Linked DNA regions of Arabidopsis thaliana. The protein of the gene in region 2 interacts with the protein of the main gene of each other region in a pairwise test. Each region holds a gene or a part of one and is shown on either strand. Other genes may lie near its edges.

The links. Proteins that work in one complex are often made in the same cells at the same time.
Region 1: the proteins of AT1G13990 (region 2) and AT4G22240 interact in a two-hybrid assay, tested with the Arabidopsis thaliana proteins (one large-scale study listed by BioGRID).

The regions. Positions count from the first base shown.
Region 1 is NC_003075.7:11,764,293-11,771,354, forward strand, and holds AT4G22240 (Plastid-lipid associated protein PAP / fibrillin family protein), read right to left. Parts: upstream 3,131-7,062; 5' UTR 2,936-3,130; coding exon 2,514-2,935; intron 2,394-2,513; coding exon 2,198-2,393; intron 2,113-2,197; coding exon 1,798-2,112; 3' UTR 1,511-1,797; downstream 1-1,510. Other genes in the region: AT4G22250 (RING/U-box superfamily protein), read right to left, coding at 3,393-4,037; IM (Alternative oxidase family protein), read right to left, coding at 5,675-5,883, 6,120-6,167, 6,269-6,340, 6,508-6,576, 6,668-6,776, 6,864-6,979. UniProt on the Arabidopsis thaliana protein: Probably involved in light/cold stress-related jasmonate (JA) biosynthesis.
Region 2 is NC_003070.9:4,791,897-4,799,343, reverse strand, and holds AT1G13990 (plant/protein), read right to left. Parts: upstream 4,589-7,447; 5' UTR 4,535-4,588; coding exon 4,153-4,534; intron 4,063-4,152; coding exon 4,025-4,062; intron 3,851-4,024; coding exon 3,779-3,850; intron 3,566-3,778; coding exon 3,528-3,565; coding exon of another isoform or gene 3,466-3,527; intron 3,430-3,465; coding exon 3,267-3,429; intron 3,190-3,266; coding exon 3,094-3,189; intron 3,006-3,093; coding exon 2,868-3,005; 3' UTR 2,750-2,867; downstream 1-2,749. Other genes in the region: VIK (VH1-interacting kinase), read right to left, coding at 1-26, 116-175, 263-342, 421-541, 667-761, 864-980, 1,238-1,312, 1,421-1,738; GN (sec7 domain-containing protein), read right to left, coding at 4,947-7,447.

The sequences.
Region 1 (7,062 bases), on a different chromosome or scaffold from region 2:
TTTCAGTTTTTTTTTTATAAAAAAAAATTCAAACACAAATACGTAATGATGTAGACATGTATTGTGTTACGTTTGTGTTCGTTATAATTTTTGTAATTTTTAGGTGTCATATACTGATAAAATGCCAAAAGTAGTCTGATATATATGGACTATAGTTGCTTTTTTTAGTGGTTGTCATCTTAGTCTTAGATCCATAAATTTATTTAAATTATTATACGAAGAAGGTCGGATGATGAAAGTTACTATTATTATGATAGTGTTTTAGATAATACGAATACAATAATAGTAATCAATGTATATCTTGTTTGACCGTGAAAAGTTTTAGACCCAAGAAATGGACCCTGTTTGTTAGGTGGTGGCAGAAATACTTAATTCCTTTCCAAAAATAAAACACGATTATTTTTCTTTTATACGTTTGCATAAAATTACAAAATTACAAAAGAGAACTAGTCCTTGTTGTTATATGCTGTAATTCTAATGGACCATTCTTATTTTTATTTTGTACTTAACATGATAAAATTTATAAAAATACTGTAAAACATTAATGAGTGAAGAAGATTCGGGAGATACACTTTGCATGGCTGCACATGATATGTCTTAAAACAAGTGACTTTTAAGACAAACCACAATTATTTTCTCTTTTTTCAGTAGTTTGGCAGATTACAAATTTATTGCGAATTTATCATCTAAAAGACTAAAATATAGTAATAGAAAATAAAAAAAATCATCTGCAAACCTAAACAAAAGAATGTATTTTTGACAACAAACTATATTATTACTAACGGTAGTTAGAGCGGACAAATACGTCAGCGATTTAGTCCGCTCTATTTTTAAAATGGGCAATAAACCGTTACGAACTAATTATATTTGTATGTAAAAACAGTCCGTAGTTAATCTGCAGTGGTTTTTTTTTTCTTTTTTAAATTCGCACCTATACAAATATGAATGATAAATAAAAAACAGTTCAAACCGCAAACGAATTTGTCCGCCTTAACCGTTGCAACCATTCAAATCCTATATAGCAAATATGTGCTACAATGATAAAGAGAGACATAGAAGAAAAAGAAAGTAATAAAACTCAGTTTACAGATTATTCTTCATTGTTATCATTATTATTGTCTCCTCCACTTTCAGTTTTGGCTCTGATTCATGCTCTCCGCATCAAACCCTCCACCAAACTGTACATAACAAAACACAGTTTCAAACTTTCAGTTATATGAGAAATTTGGTCAATTTAGGTTTCTTATGTTCTTGTCTGAATTGAGTTTTTCCTTTACCTGATGGTCTCTAAATAAATTACAGAAAGAACAAACACATTCAAAATAGGGCTTCAGATATTGAGAAACTCTATGGCATATGCTAGAAACCTCGAGTACTATACTAACAAGTATCCCATACCATACTAATAGAACCATTTCCAGTGACTGAGTCCCTCAAAAAAAAAATGATAGGCATCAAGCACAGAGTGAACCAATTAGACAACAAAATGACAGTCATCATCTCGATTCTTATCGAAAGACCCGACGTTGCCGGGATAATTCTCATGTAACTCTTGCATCGGTACATAGTTTACTTTCTAAATCAAACAGAAGAGAATGAAATTCTAAAACACTTGAATTTTGTGAAAATCTGAGACACATTTCATAGGCCATAGACGAGATGTTCTGTAGTAGTTAAAAACATTATATTCCTTATCATCGAGTTAATAACAACGATTAAGAAGTAAACCTACAACCACACTATATATTTGTCTCACTTAACACAACGACAAGAGAGAGACATATATTTTGACCAAGTTCAAGGATTCAAGAGAGGGCTTCCTTCTTTGATAAGCACAAAGACACTTCCACCGTCTCCTCTAGAGATCCGAATGTCTTTGTCTAGATAAGTCGTGAGTAGCCAAGACTGCGCATTGTCCGCCGGCAAAGAGAATTTCAACGGTGGTTGGCTTGATATGGTTCTAGCCACAGACGAGGCTGTGTCTTGCACCGAGGTAAGTAACCCTCTGATCGGGTTAAGATCAATCTTTTGACCAAGAACCTCTACATATTCCGGTATCTCAATAGAATCCGTTAGCTGAGGCGTCCCAATTACGCCTTGCTCAAACTTAATCTGCAAGAAAAATGAAATCCAAAACATTACTGAAAACGTTTCAAGATGTTGATATCAGATCATGGTCGATGAATGGTCAATTTACCTGGACGCGTTTAGGGCTTCGGATTTCGAATTTAGCGTTGGTGCTAATCGAGTTTGTACCTAAAGGACCAGCGAAACGAACAGAGTTCTGGACGGTGAAGTTATCTGAATCAATGGTTTGAGAGATCTCATCGACTTTTATTAACGGTACGATTCCTCGTGATAGCAACGGGAACAAATTCACGAACGATGTGTAGCTGCAAAAGAGGTTTAACCAAATCAAAAGCAGCACGAGATCTACCATTTGAATCCAGAATCCTACGAATGATGCTATCTACAGGACTACAAGAGAAAGTTTTCACCGGAAAAAAACTTACGCGAGGATCCATTTGCCGTTGAGAAGGAAAAGAGCTTCCGTCGGAGCTGGAGTAGGGTTCTTAGACTCGAGCTGTGTGATTAGATCTCCGATTTCAGCTCTGGTTTCGCTCGATGCGCTTAAACCTCGATCTGTTCCGTACAACGAATCCACGAGCGATCTCTTTAGCCGCTCCGTCTCTTCCACGTCTTCAATTGCTTCCTCCGCCGCCAATAGAGCTGATCCTATCTCTCCCGTATCTGTGGCTCGGACTTTGAAAACTCTACGGGGGGAAACAGCGATTCCTCCGGTGGAGATCATCGGGCGGTGAATAATTGAGGTCACCGGTACCAGAAACGGAGGCTTGGAGATAGATTTAGAGTTCGGTGAGATTGAAACTCTGGTTTGGCAGCTAAATTGGGTGGACAATTGTACCGTCGCCATTTTTTTTTGTTTCTTCGACTAAAATTTCGAAGCTAGTGAACAAGAATAGACCTGTACTGATTTTATAGACATTGTTACGTAAATGTTTTGCTTTCATCAACTACCAAACTCACACCAAGAGGGATAATATCGACTATTCCACATAGATCATGTACATTCGACTACGATACTGCCACGTGAGAGACAAGATCAACGGCCAAGAATCCACTCGACGGTGTGAGGCGAGCATTGTTTAGGCTAGATAAAATCCAAAATAACGGTTTACTGGGCTTGAATAGACTAAATGGGCCTCGTGAACAAAAAACCTCTTGTATTCTTTTTTGCATTTACATCATCTTCTTCAATAACCAAAAGAAACGTACAAAGTACACAAACCGTAGTTAAAACTTTGGAAACGTATCTAGGGATCACCTCACTTACTCACGTGGATCGAGAACTTTTAGCCGTCCGATCGTTTTCAGAAAATATCGAGTATCTCAATGATCGGACGGTTACAAAGAGGACACGATCCACGGTTCAGCCACAATTCTCTAGAGCACACTCTGCAAAAAGTATGACCACATGGAATAAACGCAGCGCCTTTCTTTCTTCCCATACACACGCAACACACCGAATCATTACCCGTTAACGTCCCAATAGACGCCGTTAATATCTCCGTTTCTTTCCCGTCGTCATCAACGATTTTCTCCGCCGTCTCTTCCAACAATCTCATCAACGAAACTCTCCTCGGCGTCATATCTGCCTCCGCCTCCGTCGATTCTCCACGGTTATACCTCTCCGCTTCTAACGCTGTCGCGAGATTCATACCCGTACCCGATCCATGATCCGATTCGAGAACGAGTCCGGTTTCAATTTGTAACTCTTCGATTTCGTCGTCTCTTGAGGTTGGACTGTGAAGAGTGGTGTTGTTAGTTAGACGGAGATTCCAGGTTGGACCACAGCATCCGATGCATTTGAATCTCAACCGTTCTTTTAACGTCCGTTTCCTTCTGGTGAGATCGTGACCGCTCATCTGTCGTCGGAGCAAATCAAGAAACGTCGTCGTCGTGCGGTGTGTTTCCGTCATCCTCTGACTCGTTCCGAGATCGAGTTCACTCATCATCGACTCGGTAACGGAAACTCTAAACAAATTCTCAGATAGTGAAACAGAATCACCAGTGAAATAGACAGATTAGCTCCGCCATGAGAGAGCCCTGTGAGGGAGAGAGAGAAACTGTTTAGATCTTTGGGTCTCGCAGTGATGATGACATTATAAAGGAAGTTTTCAGAGTTTTTTTTTTCTCTTCACATTTCTTTATTTTTTTTGTTAAAGTTGCTTCCGAATATTGATTTCCCGCGAATTAAAATTACTTTATACAGTTTTACTAATTTTTAACAGTTATAACGATTCTGTTTGACTGGTATTCCACACAAAATTACAGTAGTAGTGGAATCGAGTATATTTGTAAAATATTTTTCCAACTTGAGTATATAACTTTCAATTTTTAAAAACCAATTTTTAATAAGTTACTTACATCATTGTTTAAAACTTAAAAGGTTAATCAACTTATAATTATGTGTAATTTACCGAGAAATGATGTACAGTGTACGCAATGGGGGCAACTATAATGTTAGTTCTTCTGAATTTCTGATAGAAAGAGAAAAAATAAATTTACTTAAGAGGAAAAATTTAATGCTGTTTCTGTAACTGTACGACTTAGTTTTAAAATTAAATAAAAAAGTCTTCAAGGTCTCGAATAGAAACAAAATCGAATTAGTACTTAAGTTTATACTCCCTCCGTTTCATAATATAAGTTGTTTTATACCAAATTTTTTGTTTTATAATATAAGTTGTTTTCAAGTTTCTATGCAAATTATATATTATTTTAATACTTTATGATTATTTATATTCTACAGTTTTTTTTATAATTGGTTGAACATTTTAAAAATAAATATTCTTAATATACGTATTTTTAGTTAAAACAACTTATATTGTGAAACGAAGGGAATATTACCAACAAAAAAGGTCCTCCATCGGAGTTCAAACCCTATTAAAGATTAAACAAATCATCAATCGAATAAAGGTACTATTAATGTAACGCTAACTCTGAAATAAAAGCGACGATCAAAGTATTCGAATTTGATTACTGCTAATTATACTAGACTGATGAATTCTCTTACCTGTGCTATAACCGGAACATGGTTTTTTGGTAAAACCTTTCTGGCGGGAAAACATTTTTGTTATTAAACCCGCGGAAAATCATTTTAAAAAGTGAAAGGCAAAGAAGAGACAAAAAAAAAAAAAAAAAAAGAAGAAAAATTAAAGAAGGCGCATGAATCAAGGCTTTTCCCACGTGAAATGTTCGCATAGACGACGTCGTCTTTGCGCCACACTCTCCCCAACAAAACCAATAAAAATAAAAGTGTGGGATATAGAGATTCTAAACGCTAATACCAATATGCTTTTTGAGAGAATGATACATTCAATGATTTTGTACTTTTAAACATTTTTTTTACTCCTGTGAAATAAGAATTGAAGAAACCGACAATGCAACCACAAAGGCTAGTAGTATGGATAAAATGGTCTACAACGACTTAAGCTCATCAAAGTACATTTACATCATTAGGGTATTTGATTCTCTCACACACTAGCACAACGATGGGAATTTCACATTATTCCTTTATTCCCAAGTATATGGGATTATATCTATTGTTCATGAGCTGATACAAATAATCTTTTTTAGTTTACTTTCTAATTTATTAACTTGTAATGGATTTCTTGAGGCAGTCTACAATACCTTCGCAATGAGCCTCCTCAGGAACAACACACCCTGATTCTTCTTCAGTATCATCATCTTCTAAAATGGAGTGTGGAGAACGCAGACTGCCTAGAGTCTGACAAGCTCTCATTGTCTTGCAGTGTTCTGCTTCATCATCTCTTATGTTCACAAACACATCGTATAGATTTTCTGCCCAACCGTAATCACAAAACAACAAAAACGTTATATAGATTCTTATTTTAACATCAAAGTAAGTCACAAACTGTGAATAATGCTTCCTCCATACAAACATAAGACAGAATCTCAGTCATTTATAGAGCGCAGAATCATAACCATGGATAAATCATAAACTTTTTTTTAGCATTTTGTGGTTCGACGGAATCAGAGATGGAAAGAACTAAACGGATATGAAATAGATTTGCTACCTATTACTGGTCTTCGAGTATTGGGAGTTCTTGATGTTTGGAACTCATCTGCAGACAATACAGGGCCAGTTTAAAAGACTACTAATCATAGGTAAAAACATCTCTACAACTCTGGAGGATATTGATAATTCCTGGAAAGACAAACTCACCAAATAAGTACAAGTCACCTCCCGTATAGTATTTTACTGCGATATCCGGTGCAGGCATATTCTTCAACTCCTCTGTTTAGGGAAACCAAAAAAAAATGAAGCACAACAATTCAGAATGTAAAGATCGTTGAAGAATTTTGTGTAATATTTCAAAGCAATAACTCCATTAACAACTTTAGTTCTAATGTAAATGGTACACAGAATGGTGGAGAAAGAAGAAAAAACCATTGGTAACCAACCTCCACTGGCCTTGAGAAATTTATCATAAGTCTCATATGCATGACTCTCCACACATTCCGAAAAGTGATCTGCATAGGTGACACAAGGTTAACGAAGTCATGTAGACCAGAAGCAATTTATTCAGCTACTTTCTAGAAGTTACGCGGAAAGGAAACTTACATGCCATTCTAGGGCTTAAGATATACAAGAACACTGTCATGAAGTAGTAGAAGGTTGCTATGTGCTGAGCCAGAAAACGATCAAACCACCAAGAATTTCCACCCAATTCCTGTGATTAGAAACATTTGTTTTACTATTACTAACTATGTGAGTAAAGAGTATGAAACTTGTAGAGAAGTAACATTTTGGTTCTTACTTCCATTATGAGCAAGTGATGCATTTCATTCCAGCTCTCAGCAAAGTGTACTTTCAAATAATCTGCTCTCCTCCACCAACCAAAGGTCTCATACATATGTAGCACAGACATAAACGCTGCAAGGAGCATATAGAAGAAACAAACATTATGTTCTAGCCTCGGAACAACTTTTCATTTGGTATCCAGATCCATAATTAGT
Region 2 (7,447 bases):
CACTAGAATTAACCAGAAGAACGTTCCTGAAATATAAAATGCAAGAAGCGATTTATGAGCAGCGGATTTGAAGTAAGAAACTAAGGAGCTATATATATGAAGCGATTTTGATTACCTTGGTTTAAGATCTCGGTGAATGATAACATTAGGTTCATTGTGAAGATATGTCATTCCTCTGTAACAACAAATTTTCGAAAACACTCAGGCTAAATATGATGAACAAATTCTCACATAATATCTCGAATGTTAAAACTTCAAGTACCTCGCGATATCCAAAGCAAAGTTGACAGCAGTTGTTGGAGTAAGACCGCCCTTCTCCTTGAGGTATTGATGAAGATCTCCCTGTCAAAAAGATGAATCATTTATTTAGCCAAGAAGAAAAATTGCATAAGAAAAAGAAAGCGGATAGTGAAAACCTACCCCGCGTAAGTACTCAGTGATTAACATAAGGGGCTTTCTTTCGGTTACCGCTCCTAAGAATTGGACTATATTTGGATGGCGAAGCTTAACTAGCAAATCAACCTCATGCCTGAAGTCCTGACTGTATATCACAACAAGTATGGAAACACAAGAATCTTAGGTGAGAGCGATACCAAAGTATCAGCTAAAAGCTAGAAACTTCTTCGACAATAATAATTGGGATATAAGAGAGAAGTAAGAACTTACATAACCAGTCTATCATCTGAAAGAGAAGGAAGAATACGTTTCACAGCTACCGGTGTTCCTCTCCAATAGGCTTTCACAATCTCACCAAATGAACCCTAAAAGAATGTGACCAACCCCAAATTAGCCAAAAGAAACTCATTTGCTCAAAACTCCATTATATTGAACTAAACACGGATAAGCAAAAGCACAAATCATACCTTTCCAATCATTGCAGCATTTGAAAAATCCAGCTCAGCAGGTTCAATTTCCCAGTCACATTTCTTTGGAATTGGTGGTGGCACAGGCTTTGGTTCAAAGTGACTTCCGTTTTGACCCTGCATAGTGAATTTACTCAGCTACATATGAACAACTATCCACACACAACAACAAAAATGACTAATAGAAACACTAAAGAATAACAAACAACACTGCATTAAGCAGCTACTTCAGAGAGATACGAAAGTTTCTAAATTTTGCAAAAAACATTTTCATATTCAATAGCAATCATCACCTACCCTAACAAATGAAACAAAAGGAACAATGTCTAACCTAAAGCTATACAAAGATCAGAAAAGGGAATTCAAAAACTCACATAAGACAAACCACCATGAGATTTCAGCAGTTCAATCATTTTCTGCTTCCTAGCTCCTTCTGCATCAGCCAGTGGCTGCAAATACCCACAAATACAACAATAAGTTTTAGATCAGAATCATAACAAAGTTAAGAAACTTGAAGAAGCAACCCAAAATTCAAAATAAAAAGGAAGAGGCTTTACCGTGTTCTTCCACCTATCCTGAGCATTGACATCAGCACCAAACTCAAGCAGACATTTAACAACATCGATCCATCCATGAAGCGACGCCACGTGGAGAGGCGTTCGTTTGTCATAGTCTCTAGCGTGAACCAAAGTCGGATCTTCCTCCAAGAGTTTCCGAACTGCAGCTGCGTCGTTTTGGTGCGCGTGCCATAGTATCAGAGATGTTCTACTCACACGTGCCTTCTCCTTTTGTTTGTCGTATGAAGGTGAAGGCACGCTTGTTCCCGCAGCGGCTTGTTCGCCACCGTCTCCAGCCGCCGGTGAATCGGAGCTCATCTCAAAACCGATTCAGATGATTGAGAGAAAAATGGAAAAAATAAGAGATTTTTGAATAAGGGTTTCGATTTTGATCGATAGAGCGATGTGATTAGAGTGGTTTCTTAGAATTTTAGAATTTGGATTTTGCTTCCGCGTGAGATTGAGGAATCAATTCTTTACTGTGGAACCGGAGAGAGGGAGAGAGAGATGATTCATGTTTTCTCTTTTGTGTTGCTTGTGTGAACGAAGATAATCGCCGTTAACTTAGCCGTCAAGTTGAATTGATGACTTTTTCCTCCGTCTATTTTAGTGAGTTCTTTTTTAACTCTGTCACCGTTATCTAAGACTTCTCTCTTTTGGTCTCTTTACTCTTTATTATTAGTGACCGACTAAGAAGGCTAGACTACTAAAGGGAAATTATTAAGGGATCATGTTGGATTTGTTCTTAGAATTTCATGAATAATATCAAATTTTAGTTACGTTTTAGTTTAGATTTGGTTATTTTTGAATAAATTTTAAGAGTAATGGTCACCTTGTTACAATAATACAATCTTTTGAAACTGAAAGAGTAATGGTCACCTTGATTTTACCCTTTGGAGTTTTGAGTTAAGAAAGAATAAGTAAACAAAGTGGCTTTACCTGTCTTTTTGACATAATAGTCTATCATATGTATAAATATAAATTTGACAATCATAAAATGCTATATGAATTATATAATAAACGTTATGGGTACTAAGTCAAGTCAACGATCCGGATAACATGGAATCACATCTATCACATGATTTTTATTAATAATACACTAGCATATGCCTTTAGCATATCTATTTTTATCTAAACAAAAAAAAGTCACTATTTTTCATGTTAAGAAGTTCAATATACAATGGTCTTTTTTGTCAACTAATCATAGATACTATAAATACTCACATGTTGATTGACCAAGTAATACATTACCTACTAGTGTTAGCTTTAAAGCCTTCAAAGAAAAGAGCGCAACTTCAAGAGAATTATAAGGAACAAAAAAAAGTTATGGAGCACAAGTAAAATGCATTTTATATATATACACAGTATCACCCACGGTTAATTACTGTTTAGTCTATACAAAGTATTTTCAATTATTGCAAGTAAAATTAATACATTGTTTCACAAGCTATTTATTATCCCTCAAGTCCTCAAGAGAACGCTTCCGGGATCCGAGATTACGTTCCAGCGTCTGAGGTGTAGGTGGTGTTCTTCCACGGCGGAAGAGCACTGCCAGAGACCTTGTTTTCCGACAAAGATCAAAAACCTATTCAAAAAAAAAAAAGCAGATCATTTCAAATGTTTAAAGGCAACAAGTTCTAGAATTAGATGATATCTTTGTCTCATAATCTTACAGAGGAGGCCTCAATCTCAGCGACACCTTCACACCCTTTCCCTCCCCCTTGTAATAGGTCACAGTATCTAACAGCCTCATTCACATCTTCGAAAACCTTTGAGATAAAAACTAGGCATATCACGTTGTCTGGGTTTCATAAGGTCTTGAAAGTGATTCAGTGAGAATACTTACCAGTACTCCATCTCGAATGTCTTCTACGAGCATATCGAATTTAGTTTTGGGTCTAGCCTGCTTTGTCTGGTTGCTGATCCTACTAGGGAACAACAGTCCAAGCTCTTTTTCTACTTCACTGTTTATAAGGATTGCTAATGTCATAGGGAGAAGAAAACTAAAACTATAAAAAAAAACTTGAGTGGAATAGAGTTGGAACCTGTGGTTTGTTCTTGTTTTCATGGTACATATCTGGTTTTCTCTATGTGTTAATACATATACAGGCTTCGAATCTCCTCTCCATGGGTTGGACTCCAACACTAAGATTGTGAGAAGCCACAGTGAGAGAAATGGTTCTCAACGAAATCACTCAGTCAAAGATACAGAGCACTAAAGGAACAACATCAATTTATTAACTTTAGATGAATACAAGCTTAAATTGAATAAAACACTTATGTTCCTATTGCTTTGATATTCCTATGCATCAGCACTATGTGAAAGATGAGATGATAAAACCGTGCTTGCAATCTTACTGTAAGAGTGGAATCTAGAAATGAACAATTTTCCTCATCATAGTTCAGCTGAAGCACTCTTCTCCTGGGGAACTAAAGAAATGGTATGCAGAACACAAACTTTTGAATCATAACTAACACTACATCTATCAATGGAGAGCTTCTTCACCGGTTGTGTGTGACACAGTGACTAAATTCTGACATTGTTCAACAAAACGATTTGACTCCTGTTAACAAAAACAAGGCACTAAGGGAATTTCAAACTACTACAGTTCCCAAACTTCCTAGACAATCTTTAAGAAACTCTGATCAAGTTAGTTGCATCAACGAAAGTATTAATTTTGCATCACCAAAATCAAAGTAAACGCAGGAATTGAGAGCGATAGAGATTATACCGTCATAGCTAGTGGAATCAAACGTCTGCTCAAGTTTCCGACGCATGTCGTAAGCACGCGACGAAACTTGCCTTACAAACTCATCGGAAGTCCCAGGGATCGTACCATCCAAGTGAAGCGCCTTCTCAACTTCCTCGCTCTCTTCTTCATCGCCACCAAGCTTATCTGATCCTCCTCCTCCGCCGCCGGTCGATTTACAGCTAACGAAGTGTCTTCTTCTAGAAATCGAAATCCGTCTCCCGGAGCTGGACAAGCCGAAAAGGTAAGAAGAACGGCGTGAAGGAAGACGAATCAACACTGATCGTGAAGTTGAAACGGGGATCGTAGTAGTGGTGGCCGGAGGAAGAATTATGGAAGGAGAAATAGATGTTAGCGATTCCATTGAAACTTCCTTCTCTTTCTAATTCACTGTTTATCTTTCCCTTCTTAGAAAATCAAACGATCCTTTCTTAATTTTCTCGGGAAAAGAGAAAATTCTCGACGTGACGTAAACGACTCAACAAGAAGAAAAGAAAAAAACTCGTGGAGGCAAAATTTAACAACTCTCCTGAATCTACTGATATTTTTCCTTTGGTGGGTTCCACACATGTTCAAGACCTTCTACCTCGTTCCAAAGGTCCGTGATTAACAAAGTCGTAATTAAGAAACTTGCTTAATTAATACGAGTCTCTGAATTAGAAAGACTTATATATTACAAAAAAAAACGTAGAGAGGTGTTACATAAGAAGCTTTCACTTTCACAGTACTTATATGGATATTCGAAAGAAACTCACCTAATGATCTCACTTGTAAGGTCACGAACCAGTTGTGTTTTCAGGAGAAGATAAGCCATTCGATACGGTTTCATCATCACCAAGTTGTGAGGATTCTTGATCAGGGAATAGCTCCAGTCGCATAGACGGTGCAATGTTATTCACATGAAGCCATGTTAGCTCCCATAAGCTATCTCCACCAAGAGCACTTCTTTGCAATAGCACGCCTTTCGTCTTCATCACCAGCAATATGTTTTTGAGAAGCTCTGGTACTGATTCTTGTAGCTTGTCGCTTTTTTTGCCTCTTACTTTCACTTTCATGTATTTCTCCATTCGAGTTAGAACACCGAGCCATAGCTTGCAGAAGGTTGATAACTGAGATAGCTCTTGGAGTTGCTGAAGAAACACTTTGGAGAGAAGTTTGATTGCGAGAAGCAATGTGCCTTCCATGTTTCGGTAGTCTTTCTGTGACCCAGCAGCTATCTCAAGTAAGTCATCCAAAACCGTGAAGATTACTTTGTCAAAGCATTGAGACCACATGCTATGAGCTAGGTTGATTCCGTCTACTCCGCCTAAACACTTCTGTAATGACTGTAAAGCGTGGTTTCGGACATCCTCCCTCTGGTCTAAACACACTTTTCTTAGTCCTTGAACAAGCCTTAACCACATTTCCCCAATATCTTGTGACATCTTCCCGAAATCTTCTTCTCCCATGTTTTCCTTAGCTGAGAGAGCCCATTTAGCCAAAAATTCTAATGAATCTCCCATTAGATCAAGGGCACGGATAGAGCGTTCGGACTGTCCCACGCGGGATTCAGCAAACTGTCTTGCAGCATCAACACAGAGTACATAATTGGCTGGATACAGGTGAGTTCCTTCAGACATAACAAAGGATACGGCATCAAATCCTGATTCAGAAGCTTCTGGGTGCCGCGCTGTGATGGAGAGTAAGGATGTGATTGTTCTCCAACCCGCCTGAGACCTGATGTGATTAGCATTGGCTTTCACAAGACGGCTGACTTCAATTGCAATTTGCTCACAATAGGCATCTGCAACACGTGCATCCAGTTTCAGCACAAGCTGAAGAGATCTCAAAAGCTCATCAGCTAGGCTTTCTTTATAAGGAAGTAGTCTCTGGCAGATCCGAAGTAGACCAAAAATAGCTTTATCCACTAAGTTGCAGGGCATCACCGTTGACTGAGCAATTGTAGCTATATGTTCATAGACGCCTTGCCATAGGAGAACGATCCTGTCTCTGTTGTTTAGAGTGATTGCAATAAGCAATTCCAGACAGAAAACCGCAGTATCCTCATCCTCTGGAGAACTGGTTCCTTTCTGTGGCCTACCTGCAGCCCAAATGAGAGCACGCGCAAGCTGCAACAAAGATTCAGCTTGTAGAAACTTGCTTTCGGTAAATATGCTGTCAATGTGACATTTCTGAATTGTTTGAAGTGTTCGTTGATGAGCTGCAAGCTGTTGCTCAGTAGGCTGTGATCTTGGCTCTTCTGTATCAAGTGAAAGAAGCTGACTAAATCTTCCCATCAATCCGGAAGATCTCCTCGGAGTTCCCATTGACTGTAGATGAGCTGAAGATAGGGAATTCGCGAGGGGCTTTCCTTGCCCTTGCTCAGATGAATGTTCTGATTCATCAGCTGCATCACTGGCTACACGAGCTGGCAGAAGTCCAAGTTTATGTAGCCGTAAGATACAGTCCAATATGTTCCTCCAACCCGTACGTATATAATCTCCATATTTGTTTGCAATGGTAAAAATTGTGATAGTAGCCATCCTTGCTTTTGCGTCATCACCAAATGCAAGAACGGGTTCATCAACAGATGATGGATTCAACAGAGTTGTGAATTTGCAGAGAGAGACAACCAGATCATCAAGCACATCTTCAAGATGATGACAGGCAGAAATTTTAGCTATAGCCAAGAATCCATCGATGCATGTCTGGTAAACGTCTTCATGTTCTGCATGGTCAAAAACGACTGATATGGCAGCAATGGTTGGACCAGACATGATAGCAAACATATCATGGTCAAGATAAGCCCTTGAATCAGCCAGAATATATGGAGCAGTTTTCTTTGATTTATGCATCAAATCAATCCAACGGCTGGGAGTCATTTCAGGAAAGCCTGCACCTTGTTCTGGAGTAGTCCTGATCTCATTGTTGCAGATGGAGTGAAAGAGTTCAGACAAGAATTCTCGAGGTAGATCATTTCCTCCATTGATATGCCTATTATTGCGAATGAAATCCTCTTCTGTCATCTTTTTCTTTACTTGAACGTTGTGCTGATCAGTGTTAAGCATGATAATAGAGTATGATAACACAAGAGCAGCATCCTTGTTGGCCAGAATCTCAGGAGATTGCATATAGTATCTTTCAGAGAACGCCTCAAGCACTCTCTGTATTTTCTGGGATTCTCCAGGCAACCTGAAGGTTTCCAAGAAGAGTCGGAGTGCAGTATCCAGATTCATGTACTGGAAATCGAAAGTCCCAGCAAACTCATTGAGAACTTGAACACAAAATTCGTCATGAT